Linked DNA regions of Schizosaccharomyces pombe. The gene in region 1 interacts genetically with each later gene. Each region holds a gene or a part of one and is shown in the gene's direction. Other genes may lie near its edges.

The links. A genetic interaction does not mean that the proteins touch.
Region 2: mutations in urk1 (region 1) and any2 together harm fitness more than expected from each alone (negative genetic interaction), as found in Schizosaccharomyces pombe (one large-scale study listed by BioGRID).

What each region holds. Positions count from the first base shown.
Region 1 is NC_003421.2:1,554,050-1,561,230, forward strand, and holds urk1 (uridine kinase/uracil phosphoribosyltransferase), read left to right. Parts: upstream 1-1,949; 5' UTR 1,950-2,057; intron 2,058-2,118; 5' UTR 2,119-2,395; coding exon 2,396-3,760; 3' UTR 3,761-3,864; downstream 3,865-7,181. Other genes in the region: TORC1 subunit Tco89, read right to left, coding at 1-146; serine/threonine protein kinase Ppk33, read right to left, coding at 4,175-5,191.
Region 2 is NC_003424.3:3,808,960-3,816,245, forward strand, and holds any2 (arrestin-related substrate adaptor Any2), read left to right. Parts: upstream 1-3,589; 5' UTR 3,590-4,162; coding exon 4,163-5,296; 3' UTR 5,297-5,589; coding exon of another isoform or gene 5,590-5,981; 3' UTR 5,982-6,067; coding exon of another isoform or gene 6,068-6,434; 3' UTR 6,435-6,786; downstream 6,787-7,286. Other genes in the region: tma19 (translationally-controlled tumor protein), read right to left, coding at 569-1,075; SPOM_SPAC1F12.04C (uncharacterized protein), read right to left, coding at 2,107-2,682; SPOM_SPAC1F12.06C (DNA repair endonuclease), read right to left, coding at 5,590-5,981, 6,068-6,434; ser1 (phosphoserine aminotransferase), read left to right, coding at 6,894-7,286.

The sequences.
Region 1 (7,181 bases):
ACTCGCACATGACCTCCACCACGCTTAAGCCTACTGTTTACAATAAAATTCCGCTTACGCTCCTTAGTAGATCTTGAGTAAACCCCTTCACCATCTGTACTTACTGTAGAAGAGGACGTTCTTCTCGACAGGGATGGACGTTCCATACTAAACGTCTAAATGAGGGTTCTTTGGGGAACTGTTTAGAAAGAAAATGAAGAAGAAACGAATACAAGCAAAACGCTTGTAAATTAACCTTTGAAATGATTAATTGAGTAAAATATGAACATGAAGAGGAATCCAATAAAAAGCTAGTCAATTCCCAATTATGACTAACAAAAACAATGGATCAATAATGTAAAAGAACGATATTAAAAAAAATATTTAATTATTAATTTTTCTCACTTGTCAATTCCTACTCCTGAAGTGAATAAATTAGCAGGTTAAGAATTCGTTCGCCAAGATAGGTGAAAGGAAAGAGAGGATGGAGGTGTGTCAATGTGAAACGAACAAAAGATGGCAAATATTATAAAACGGCTATAGCGTGATATCGTTTGTTAAAATATTAGATTTATTTCAATTCACTATTTTCTAGCTCAATAAGTGCAATTTATCATTACTAAAGGCATGGGTAATATATTACAACAAACGTTGGTAAAAGGAAGATGAGGAATTTAGTCATGTGGTACTCTTTTGTTTATTTTAAAAAGCGTTTTATTTGGTTTAAATTGCAGTTACAGTTTCAATTCTACAGCAAGTTTATGATAAAACTTTTCGAGTAAATGTGATGTGAAATTCAAGGATTTTTTTCTAATCAAATGAGGAGGGGAAGATATCTACTTTAATTTAATAAATCAATTGATTCCATTGCTATCGATACATGGATAATTAATTTGTGGGATTGAGAAGAAATTATGCGAACAAATTATCTAGGCTTAATATTCATGAGTTTCGAGTTTTAAATATGAAGTCAAAATTTGCGCAATTCGAGGTCATCAATGTCATTTTTTTGTGACGATTAGCCGTCAAATATGTTTAACATTGCACCGGCTTCAAATCTTTGCGTTTGATGCATTCACTATTCTATATTTTCACTTCTCTCGATATAGGGAAGAGAAATTTAAGGATTTTGCGTGTGCTAAGTAAGCATGTAAATGGGTTTCTATTCGAAAATGTACGCTTTTTTCAAATTTTTCTACTTTTTCACACCATTAATAGCGGATTACTCTACTTGATGGGTCAAACTGAATATCCTTTATACTATTTTCTAATTTGAAATTAATTGCCTATTACGAACAAAAGCGACGAGTTCTCAATATCATAAAACCTGCCATAAACTTATGTCCATTTACTTGGTTCTTCTGCACAAAAGAAACTTTCATATTCCTTTTTGTCAGTTCTCTTAGGTTTAAAAAAAATGGCAAAGCTACAATCTAAATCTTCGAGCGGCAAAATCATTTATTGAACTTTGAGACGATCTCAACCTAGCTGTTCTTTTTATTTCATCATTTTTGGAAGGTAAAAAATAATTTGAATCTGTTTTTCTAAGAAATGCGTATTAAGTATTAGTCGTGTTGATTTAGTTATTTATATAAACAAAGCAAGATTTCTCTTGCGTTTTTGAATTTGAGCCAATATGTTAAATTTCCTTATTGTCGCCTATTTTTATTAAATACATTTTTAAAGTTAAATTAAATATCAAATTTTGGTACAAGCTTCCAACATGTCACGAATGTTACAATTTTCACATAGTCAAAATTGATTAATTTCGAATATTAATTGCCGGATTTCTTTTAAATCTACATATAATTCATTAATTTAGTAATAGGTATTGCAAAAAAACTTCTCACTTCCGTTCTACAAACAAACTGCTCTTTCTTTATTCCCGATGATTACCGCGGCTCAGGCGCTGACTGAAAAAGTCACAGTGATAATGTTACCAAAGGATGAAAAAACAATGATATTGGATTTACCCTTCTCCAATTTATTGTTTCAACTAGTTTACTAGTTATTTAAAAAGACATTTCGAAAATCTTTCTATTTATGTTAAAATTTCCTAACATTTTTCCTTCCTTTGGGTTCGTATACATATATATATTTTTCTAATGGTATTGCTAACTCGAGATTTGTGATTTATAGAAAAAACTAAGCAAGTTTGAGAAGAGTAAGATAAGGAAACCATTATCATTCTACTTGAATTAATTCTGTTTGAATAAATATCTTTGGCTCTACAAATTGTGGAATATTTTCGTTTCACGCCAAGACAGAATTTACCTTTTAAAAAACGTTAGGTTCACCAATTAGTCTTTTTTTGCTCTACAGTTTTTTTTTTTTTAAACTTTCTTTAGTAATATTTCCTTGGAGGCTAGCATACCTTTTTTTTGGGCTTCTTATTTATTTTATTTCTTTCGTTATTATGCCTGAAGCTTTTGAGCGTTATTCAAGCAACCCAACTTATGAACCCCCATGGCGTAAAGTGCGATTTATTGGAATTGCAGGACCATCGGGTAGTGGGAAAACCTCGGTGGCCCAATTGATTGTAAAGGCGTTAAATCTTCCACATGTTGTTATTTTATCCCTTGACTCGTTTTACAAATCTTTGAATGCAGAGCAGAAGAAGAGAGCATTTAACAACGACTATGACTTTGATTCCCCCGAAGCCATTGATTGGGACTTGCTCTTCGTAAAACTGCTAGAACTTAAACAAGGCCGTAAAGTTGACATTCCTATATATAGCTTCAATGAGCATAATCGGCTTCCTGAGACCAACACGTTATTCGGAGCAAGTATCATTATTCTCGAAGGGATTTTTGCTTTATACGATGAAAAGATTCGCTCTCTCCTTGACGTCTCGGTCTTTCTAGATACAGATTCGGACGTGTGTCTCTCTCGTCGACTGAATCGCGATATCAACTATCGAGGAAGGGACATAGTTGGCGTTTTGGAACAATATAATAAATTTGTCAAGCCAAGTTATGAGAACTTCGTTAGGCGTCAACTATCTTACACTGATCTTATCGTTCCTCGTGGCCGGGACAATAAATTGGCAATTGATATGGTGATTAATTTTATTCGTAGAACACTTTCTATACAAAGTGAAACTCATGTTAAGAACATTGATAGTTTACAGCAAATTGTACCAACCATTCCCCATTTACCCTTAAATTTAGTTCAGCTTAAAATTACGCCTGAAATATCTGCCATCAGGACTATTCTTATAAACAAAAATACACACCCTGATGATTTACAATTTTTTTTGAGCAGAATTGGCACCATGTTGATGAATTTGGCAGGTGATTCGCTTGCATATGAAAAGAAAACGATTACTTTGCATAACGGAAACCAGTGGGAAGGTCTACAAATGGCAAAAGAGCTTTGTGGTGTTTCAGTTTTGCGATCCGGCGGAACTCTTGAAACAGCTTTATGTCGTCAATTTCCAACAGTGTGTTTGGGTAAGATTTTGGTGCAAATCAATAAAGTTACTCAAGAACCAACTTTACATTACCATAAATTGCCCCGTGGCATTGCTACCATGAATGTTGTTTTGATGGCTTCACATTTAACTACACATGCAGATGTCTTAATGGCCACGCAAATTTTAGTGGATTTCGGGGTCCCAGAGGAAAACATTATAATTGTGGTCTATGTTTGTTACTCTGAAAGTATTAAAGCGCTGGCTTATATTTTCCCAAAGGTTACCATTGTTACAGCATTTCTAGAAAGTGTTGCTGAACCCGTAGTCGGTAGATTGGATATCGAAAAAGTGTATTATGGATGCTGATATAACATTTATATGCGTGGATATAAAAAACAAAAGTTTAATGTCTGTTAGGAGTTTAGTGTACATTTTATTAAAGAATTCCCTTTGTTTGGATTATTACTTGCAGAAAACTACGGATAACAGGTGTTTGGTGATATAAATGTCATATTAATTAATTCGTGTAATTTCGTATCGCTCGATTAGAATAGTTCAGAAATTCAAAGTTATAAATAATGAAGTTTGAAATAGTTTAAGTGGAAACGCAGTCAAAATTTTTCCAGGGAAAATAAGAGACGAGACTATCAGGCAAGCAAAAAAAAATAGTAAAAAAATAGCAATACTATGTAACACATGAACCGAAAGACAAATCGTAGCTGAGAGAATCTTTGAATAATCATATATATTAATTAGTTTTGTAAACATTGAATCATTAGTTTAAAAAGTAGCCTCCAAATCTAAAATTGGGTCAACATATACTTTTCCAGATTTCGGACGGAAAATAGGAGTCAGGTTGCCCTTGGAAACGGTCTCCAAAGAGATAGAGCAAAAAAATGGATGTGTTTGAAGTTTCTTGCTGGAGTGACCCAACCTCTTCTTAATGTCCATTTCTAGAAAAGCCATAACAGCTGAACGAGCATCTTTCGAGATAGTAGTTAGCTTTTTATCCCGAGAAATATGAAGAGCAGAAGATAAACGATCTGCTGATGAAGCCTTTTCTTCCTCTGAAGCTCGAATCCAATTGATCAAAAGATGATTGGGAAAAGGTCGCACTTGAAAAAGGCATTCGTAAAATGTTATACCTAAGGACCACCAGTCTGATTCTTTATAAGAAACAGCGTGAATTAATGTCTCAGGAGCCATATATACAGGGGTCCCAACGCGACCAACAGTCATGTTTGATTTAGAAGGAGAAGATGAGGTATGCACTTTAGCTGCAACATTAAAGTCAGCCAACTTGCAATGTCCCTTCTCATCCAACAAAATATTATCTGGCTTTACATCGCGATGAAGCACCCCCTTTGAATGTATATAAATCAAGGCAGATACTAGTTCTACCATCCAAATACGAATGACCGATTCATTGAATTTTCTTTGGGAAATATGGTATCGGAGATCTCCACCAAGCATTAAATCAGTTACTAAGTAAATTTTCGTTTCATCCTCAAACTCAGAGTAAAACTTGCATAGTAGAGGATGGTTCAATGATTGTAATAATAGAACCTCATTTCTTAGCTTCTTGATCTTATGCTCGTCGTGTTTCTTTTTATTGATGCATTTAAGAGCAAACCTTTGCTTAGTTTGACGATGTTTCACGACGAACACTGTACTCCAGCTTCCTTTCCCAATAACATTTCGAATTTTGAACTGAGAAACACTTTCAAAATTGGTGGCATTTGGATCCTCAAAATTTTCTTTGTCGTTTTTAACACTTTTTGAGTTACTATTTCCCATGTATAAAAAACTGCGGAAAGAAAGCACAAAGGTGCAGCAATGTCTATTTGACTTTGGTGGATAGGGACGCTAGCGAACAATTAATTTACATTTAGCATTTCAAAATGAAAACTCACTTTTGACTCAAGCGCTGCGACGCCTTAATTTGAGTAAACGGTCCTGTAGTTCGATAGCTTGACTAGTGTAAAAAAAAAATAAAGAGAGAGAATTCGGTTTTTTTCTTGAAAACGAGTGTTAAAAAATTATTTATTAAATTTGGTTTTGGATAAATCAGAGAATTATGGAGTCTGTAGATTCACCATACCTGTAGTCAGGAGGTACAGAGAACAAAGAAACTTAGCAATTTATGGGTAAACAAAGAATCAGGGAGATGATGCTTCTTCAATAGAGTCGTTTAAATGCAACTTTAAAACTTATCCTTTTGATTGGATAAAATTAAAATTAGCGAAGCTTATGTTATTTCTCAAAACGACCATTGGTTGTAGATAACTCGTTAATAGTAATCTTAAATTAACCCAAGGAAGATAACCACATTTAGTTGGTGAGAGTGAAAAAGCACATTACACGTTTTCTACACTGAATTTCCTTTAAAAACAGAAATTTTCACAAATTTCCTTGTTGTTTTAACTGTTAGTATAATTTTTCTTCCATTTTGGGACAACCTACGTTAAGAGAAACTTCCTTCCCCACAGTGTACAAGAGGTGGCTGAAAACTGCAATGGAAGTACAATGCAGTACGGAGGTTTCTACATAATAAGTTCCCCTAATAAAACACCTACAAAAGAAGCATAGTGACCCTGCTTCTTTTTTCTCCTTCACCTATAATACTGTTGCTTCGTTGAGATCAGTGCTTCTCTCTACAAAAGAATTTCCAAACTTATCGTAATGCGTTGCCAGAGTTAAGGCCTATGTCCAAAGCTTTATTTTAAAATGCTGGAGAGAACAGAAAGTGGAACTTAATATGCATAGTAAATATAAGAATAACAGAAGCAGGATTTTGTAAGTCTAAAGATATTTTTAGGTTTGGATACACTCATTCCTCATAAAAGAAAAAGGAAGGAAAAGGGCGTTGTTCATTTTTTTAAAAGGAATAAAGAACCGTCAAATGATTTTACCGGTTTGTCGCATTAGCCTAATTTGGATATAATTCGAAATTGTATAAAAGGTATCCAATTTTTTCCTGCGTCTTGTAAGTCAATCTCCGATAAATAAGAGATTAATGTGAAAATAATGCCTTCATGAGAAACAACTTATTTCAACCACATCTCATTCTCAGCAATCACAGAGTTCCATTATAGACGTTGATAAAAAAAATAATATAAAGAATAAGTGCAGCAATTACTTCGTCCGGCTTCAATTTGTCCTTTTTACAAAGTCAAAGTTTTCGAATTGTCTTGAAGCAAACAACCCTACACAGATCTGTCTGTCATAGGTAACGCTTAATATCTCTTAGGAAATGAAGTATAACGACTGTGATTTCCAAGCGCTTCATCTTACCTTTTAACGAGATTGGATCAAGAGCCTTGGAATAATTTCGTTTCTCTTAAGTTTAATTCCCATCGTCCATTCGCTGCTCTTTCTGATATATGATTAACGATTTCTTTAAACATCTCGGTGAATACGAGATTTGAACTCCTTCACTATTTCCTTAGAAGCTTAAATCCTCTTTCTAAGAAGTAATTTTTGGCTGGCAACCAAGCAAGTCATGCTCTAAAGTTTTATGATCGTTCAAAAAAATAATCCAACTAACGTCTTTGGCATTTCGTCTAATCAAACCTTGGAAGTCGCTTTTCATCGACAATTTCTTAGCTTAAACTTGACAAATAGATTACATTTTTTCTACAATATTCAAGCATTTCTTTAACATTTTTTGGAACTAGTACTTTCAAGTAGGGTCCTTTACTTTTTTTTTTAAACAACGGACGAGCGCAGTTTTTGCACCCCAACAAGTAGCACTTCAATCTTAACTTACCCACAACAACACCACGCC
Region 2 (7,286 bases), on another chromosome or scaffold:
TTGATTAAAAGGCTTAACAATTAAGCATAAATTTAATCCAATAGTCGTCCGCTACAAAAATAACATCGTCGAGCAAAAATTTCCCAAATCTTTAGTACTAACAGTAAACTATAGTTTCGACTGTAACAAAGTTTCAATGGCTACCGGGTCGTCTAGTGTCGCCATAACAAAAGTTTGGCTATTCCTCGTAAAGGACTTGAATTATCAACTTCGATAAAAAGCAAAAAAATACACTAAATTAATGGTAAAATACCAAATTTCAAACCATATCCTTACTTACTAAATTATTTCGGCCTGTTAATATATAAATAGATTCATGAATTTTAGCACACACGTTTTAAAACATCGATACCTCAATCTTCCATTCAACCAAATACAAAATCGATAAAAAAACACTAATTTCAATTTGAACATGATTATAAGCTAGCATAATTAATTATTATCAGAACAAAAACCCCTGTTCTAATCCTAATGAAATTTTGTGAAAACTAATTCACAAAACTATAAAATTTAGACATGATATCATGTTCCCAGTTAGAAACTCCCTTATAAGAACCCAAATTTGCATTTAGAACTTCTCAGAAACAAGACCGTCCTTGAAGAAGATCATGTAGGGAGTAATACCATCCTCACGGTAGTTCATTAAGACAACCATTGCGTCGGGATCCATGCTCTCACCAATGTAAAAGTCGTAGTCCTTGAAGTTAGCCAAAATCTTCTTGACGAATCCAATGGCATTCTTCTCGAAAACAGGAACACGCTCGGGGTTGCTTTCTTGAAGACGAGCCTTGATAGCCTTCATGTAACCCTTGATGTAAGACATATAGGACTTCTTGTCAAAAGAAGTAGGGCTTAAACGGAAAGAGTAAACAAGATTGTTTACAGTCTCAGTACCCTCTTCAGCATTCTCCTCAGCATCCTCGGCAGAAGGGTTGGCACCAATGTCAACATCACCACCTTGCTTGACAGTGACCATTTGGCAATCAGCCTCGTAGACAATATCGTCTACCTCCTTCAAGTCGTAGGCGTCAGAAACGAGTTCGTCTCCAGAAATAACGTCCTTGTACAACAACATGGTGATTGCAGATGGTAGCTCATAATTTGACTTCTCGCAGGTTTAATGAGATAAAGCAGTCACAGTTTAGGGCAGGGTTACTGGATTCTAGCCATCCGTATGGAATGCGGTTACGAACAGTATTCACTTTACGTAGTACAGCGTTGTTTTCGATAGATACATTTTGTTTACCAATTCCTTCATTTTTTTCAATTTGTCGTAGTCTGTTCTCCTTTCTTTTAAATAACAATATTCTTTATATTTTCAGATTTTTTTTTAGATGAAAATATCGTTGTACTCAGTCAGTAGTAAATTGTTTTATATTACTGAATCTGATTTTTTGAGTGAAACCATTATGATGCGTGTAAAATTAAGATTAAAGCTGGAATTAAAGTCCAAATGAATTCAACAATTGAACCATATTTAACAGTATGTGTATTAATCTCTATGTTCTTTAATCAACTTGTAACCATTTATGTCGCCTCAAATTTATTATTCGAGCTATTATCCGTCAATTCTTGAGTCGTAATTAGAACATTCTCAACAGTACTGAGCTTCAGAAGAAACCTAAAAAAGTAGTGCATTATAGTTGATAATAATTCCTTAACGTTTATATATGATATACTTAAAAGTATGATATCGTACATCCTCAATTTGAAATTGCAGGGCCATTAAAAACACTCGTTAATAAAGATATTCAGTTCAATTAGAAAAAAATGACAAGGTACATTTTGGTGACAAACAAAGAGTAACTTAATGTTTTCCGTTGATTAAATTTTCGATCAATATCCCAAAATTTAAAACGCTTTAATGGAATGGATTAACGATTAAAATCGACTTCATTTCTAAAACCTTTCAAGCTTTAAACCGATTCAGTCCCTTCATTTAGAATGGCATATTTCGATTTTTGCTGAAAAAACCAAGACGACTGTTACCACTTTTGTTTACTACTTTACTCACATAGACATTCGAGAAAACGAAAAATAGTTGAGCACGAATAGAATTACATGAAAAAAGTAACTTCTATTTAAATTTAAAAAGCTCATTCGTAACTAAGCTCTTTTATTGTGCAAAGAGAGGATTAGTTTTCTAGTTTGTACAATTGCGCTGAAAAGACCAAGAACTCCAATTTGGTGTTTGTGTAAACCAGCTCCATTTTCTACAGACCAGTGAATACACAAAGGAAGGCTAGCCAAGTTTGAAGCTAAGTCTAACTGATGCTCCTTTTCGTCTTCTGTTTTTTCACGCAAAAGCTGGTAAATGGTCAATAAAGTATCGAGAAGCCAAAATCTAGAAGACCAAAGCCATAATTTGTCTTCCAACGGTTTTGATATGGAAATAATCTGTTTGCCGCCTAAGAATGCCAATCCTTCTGTGACATAGTATCCAATATTGATTGCGTTACTCATGTAAGTTTCAGGAGAAGAATCTTTACGAAAATTTACGATTAATTTGTAGAGACCAGGAAGACGTAAAATACATCGAAATTCATTTAGCATAGAAACCAGTTGAGCAGTTGATTTCGAAGATGCTGGATCCAACCTCGCAACGTTGACAAGAATGGCAGCAATTTTGTCAATTCCGCTGGGATTTTGCAGCATCAGGTTTAAAGAATGCATATAAGACATATTTCTCAAAAAATTTCAGCTCTAAGATTTGGTCAATTATATTGTTCACGAAAGGTAGTCTAATTTTCGTATACTTTAGTAGAAAAGCGTAAAATCCAAAAAAATACTAAGTAGCGTATGTAAACGACTAAAATTACCAAATCCAAAGATTATTTGAATGACGATAGATGTCGGTTCGGCAACGTCTTATGGTATAGAGAGTGAGTGTGCTGCTATAGTCGATCGGATCAGCAAACGTTAGCTAGTCTGTTTAGTACACCAATAGATTTGATAAGAAAAATCTACAGTGCAGCAAAGTGAAATGTTATTTTATGAGTTGATCGATTTTACTTTTAGAATTACAAATGATAAGATATGATAACTTTCTCCAGTTATCACGTCGATTAGATCGCCGGAAATAACTCCGATATTGAGGAAAGTGTATTCAGTTGCAACAAACAGCTGTGACGGCTTCAAAGTATCGGCAAATCATTTTTTGCATGTGTTTTAAAAAAATAGTTCAGCAATAAAAAACATAAATTTGTTAGGCTTCTAGAGGCATATGCTTATTTATGTGTTATTTTTTTAATATTTATCATAACGTATTTTTTATTACAAATCCTTAGGTAGCAATATCTTAAGAATTAAACATACATATGTTCAAGGATAAAAGAAAGAAAAACTTGGAAACTGGGTTTATTTTTTCTATTCCTTTGTTCAGATACATATAAAACAGCTTAGTTACTATGGATTATTATCATATAGAATTATGATAACTGTTTAAAATAAATATTATTTGGAATAACGAGATTTGTTTAGGTCGGCTTGAGATACGCACAGCTACGTAAGATTGTAGATAACAAACTTTGAAAACCTTCGCATTCAGTGGCCTGGGGAGCATGCAGACTACACTTCCTATTCTTCCTTTGCAAAAACCTTCTCTTCTTACTACATTAGTATATTTTTCATAGGGAGGTGCTATATGCACTGTATTCATAGTTACGCTCTGCTTACAGTGAGCAAAGTATTTCTTTGGACGCTAAAAAAAGGCTCCTGTATATTGATTTGAGTAAATATTTTGGCATAGAAAAACACATTCAACGCTACTTAATTGTTTTTTCCATTTCGAACTACTATTGAGAGGAAGTTGTTTTTTCAATTGTTTTATATCATTTGAAAAAAATTGAAGCACAATTGCTTATCTTTGATCAAACGTTTAAGGAGTAAGCTCCAAATTCGATAATCCCTATTCCGTTCTACATAAAACCTGAGTTCATCTCTTGTGCTGTCGCTTTCAACCTCAGAAGCTGTTAAGGATATATATTAATTTAAAATTTTTACCAAAAAATATATTTCATTCTCTTCATAGCCGTTTTCTGTTTGTTTAATTTCAATCTCATATTAATTCTTCTGATCGGGCCCCCCTTTGTTCTTTAGATTCATTTTTTCCTACTCTTTCCTTTTAATATTTAATTCCTAAGTCATTAGCTGAACCGTCAAGATGCCTTCATTAGTCAGGAGATTTCAGCATGCTTCAACAGAAGAACAACCTTTCGAACTCAACATCCAGATGGAGTCTCCTCCTTTGGTAATGTATGGGAATCCAGATGTTTCTAGTGGAGCGTTAGCATCTGGACTTGCCAAGTTGACTGTATTTCCTGCAGATCTCAAATGCGAATCCATTGTCATGGAATTCGTCCGCATAATATCCACAAAGCGTCCTTTGCGCGACAGCTGTCCCGATTGCAAAGCTCAGGTTGAGGCTTTTGAGAAATGGGAGTTTTCTAAAGAACCTACCGTATATACTCATGGTACACATACTTGGCCATTCACTTTTATAATACCTGGACATTTTCCACAAACGACCAACTCACCATTCATAAACGTTACTTACATCCTAAAAACTCGCGTTAAGATTCCCAGTCAACCCGATTTTGTTTTTGAATATCCTTTAAACTTGAAACGCTCTATTGTCACTAATGCTGATAAAATTGCCCAGCGTCTCTTCCCCCCTACTTCGCTTATTGCTCTTTTAGAGCTGCCTCCTGTAATTCACCCTTTGAGTTGTGTTCCTGTTGAATTTCAGCTGACCGGTGTAAAACCTGAAAACTCCAAGGTTGGTTGGCGCTTAACGAAGATTTCGTGGAGAATAGAAGAACAGATAAAAGCTCAAATAAATGGTTGCTCGACCCATACTGGGACAAAAAAGCCATACATTTTCAAGGAGACTCGGCTGTTGGGAAATAATGAACATAAGTCTGGTTGGAAAGAAGATGGCGATAGAATTATCTTCGAGATCCCTATCAGTACATCTTTACTTTCAAAGCCTATTTGTGATGTTTCCTTTGATGGACAATTCTCTCTATATATTGCCCATCAACTAATTCTTGAGACTATAGTCGTCGAAGTGATGAACTCGCATCCCATAAACTCGAATGCCCGAATTTTAAGGATGAAGGTCAATTTACCTTTGACTGAACGAGGTGGTCTTGGTGTTAGTTGGGATGAGGAATGCCCCCCAATGTTCAATAGTGTTGGACCCAGTCCTCCTGCATATGAGCAAGTTGCTAGATCCTCTCCCACTGATATTCCACTACCTCCACCTTCATGTCCTACAAATGTTCAAAGAGATTGATTCGAATTTTAGTTTCTTCCGTCAATTTTGTTTTTTTATCTTTCTGTTTTAATTGGGCTTGTTTTTTCATTTCAAAGATTTGTGTATCTTTATATGACTTGAACGGTAATTTTTTGACCTTTACTAAGCTTGGATGATACAACAGGATTTCCATTAAAGGTTGCTTAACGTTTGTTCAAATTCCGCTTTTTTATTTCTCTTTCCTGTAGATTAATCTAATTCTAAACCGTCAATTAAAATACTCACAGAATATCTAAGTAGACAAAGTAATGTTTCTCGTAAGATGATTTTGCTTAATTTTTCTTATTCCTTTTCGATTGACTTAGGACAAATTTGGCATAAATGTCTGCTTGCCTGATCGGTTCCGGTACCCTGCTATGAGAGCTACTGCATTTCTGTACGAGTTGGATAGACTGTTCTAAATTCATTTGGTTACCGATGCTAACATAAACTGGGCGTTTCGAGTTACTGCTTGTCCATACTGCAGCGCCCAGAATCTCAGAAGATTGATCAATCGAGTGAATCAATATTGGATGATCAGTTGTTTTCTTTAGCACGTGTTTCTTTAAAGTTTCACGATGTGCATCTAAGCTTTCAGTCAAACCCACGCAATGTAAGTAATTTTTCGCGACGCCAACAACGGGAAGATTCAACAACACACCTAAATGGCAAGCCAATCCAAATCCTAAGTTGAGTTAGATATAATTAATAATATCCTTCATTGAGAGTGTCTCCTTGAAGTAAATAGATTGTTTACAGAATCTTACTTACCGACAGGATGCAATACGCCATTTCCATCTACTAAAATGATATCAATTCGAAATTGATGAGGAATGTGATTTAGCAATGGCAAATACCATTTAATTTCTCGAAATGAAAGAAACCCGGGAACATAGTCCTCTTCTAATTTCTCAATGCACAAATAATCTTTATAAATAATCATACGTTGTTCTAAATCATAAATAACAAGGGCTGAGACAGCCTTTGGACTTGATTTATCAAAAGAGATATCCAATCCTACAACATATCTTATTTCATTCAAACTTTGAAATTTGGGAATTAGCTGCAACATCCCTTTAAGTTCAATTTGCTGTTGGCGCCATATCGTTAACTTATCATGCAAATTGTCATTATTCATAATATACAATTGATCTTAAAATCATTTAGGTGTTTTTTAATTTAAAATAAACCGGTCTTTTCTGGGGCTTGAGTTGAGTACGAAAACCACGAAGTGAAAAGGTAGAAGTTCCCACATATGAGATTTAGACGCGAAATGTCAATTAATGTAATGAGATATCTAAAATATAAATTACTGTAAAAGAATTAAATTGACAAAGCGTAAACGAATACGCTATCATTTTTGGGATCTCATCGGTGTGTATAAAAAAGAAGTAGTGACTTCACTCACTTCCTCTTAACCCATATCATAGGAGTTGATAATTGGATCACGTTGACAGGTTTTGATTTCTCTAGGCGACATTTACTATTGTAATTAGTTTTACTCTCATATAAATAGTTTTGGAGTAATACCTGTGAAAATTGATATTCAGATTATTTTAAATTCTAAGTATACTTCTGCTTGAGCTCACGGAACAAAATGTCATCCAGAGAGGAAGTAGTTAATTTTGCTGCCGGTCCTGCCGCTATGATTACCTCTGTAGTTGAGGAATTTGGAAAGGACTTTGTCAATTTCCAGGGCCTTGGCATGGGTGTCGCTGAAATTTCCCATCGCAGCAAGCAAGGTTCCGGGATCGTTACTTCTGCTGAATCCAATTTTCGTAAACTTTACAATATCCCCGAAAACTTTCATATTTTATTTATGCAAGGCGGTGGTACAGAACAATTTGCCGCTTGTCTTTATAATGTTTATGCACACCATGCCCTCAAGAATGGCAATGCTAAATCTCTTGTTGCAAACTATATTATTACCGGAGCCTGGAGTAAAAAAGCATATGCTGAAGCTGAACGCTTAGGCTTCCCATGCCACGTT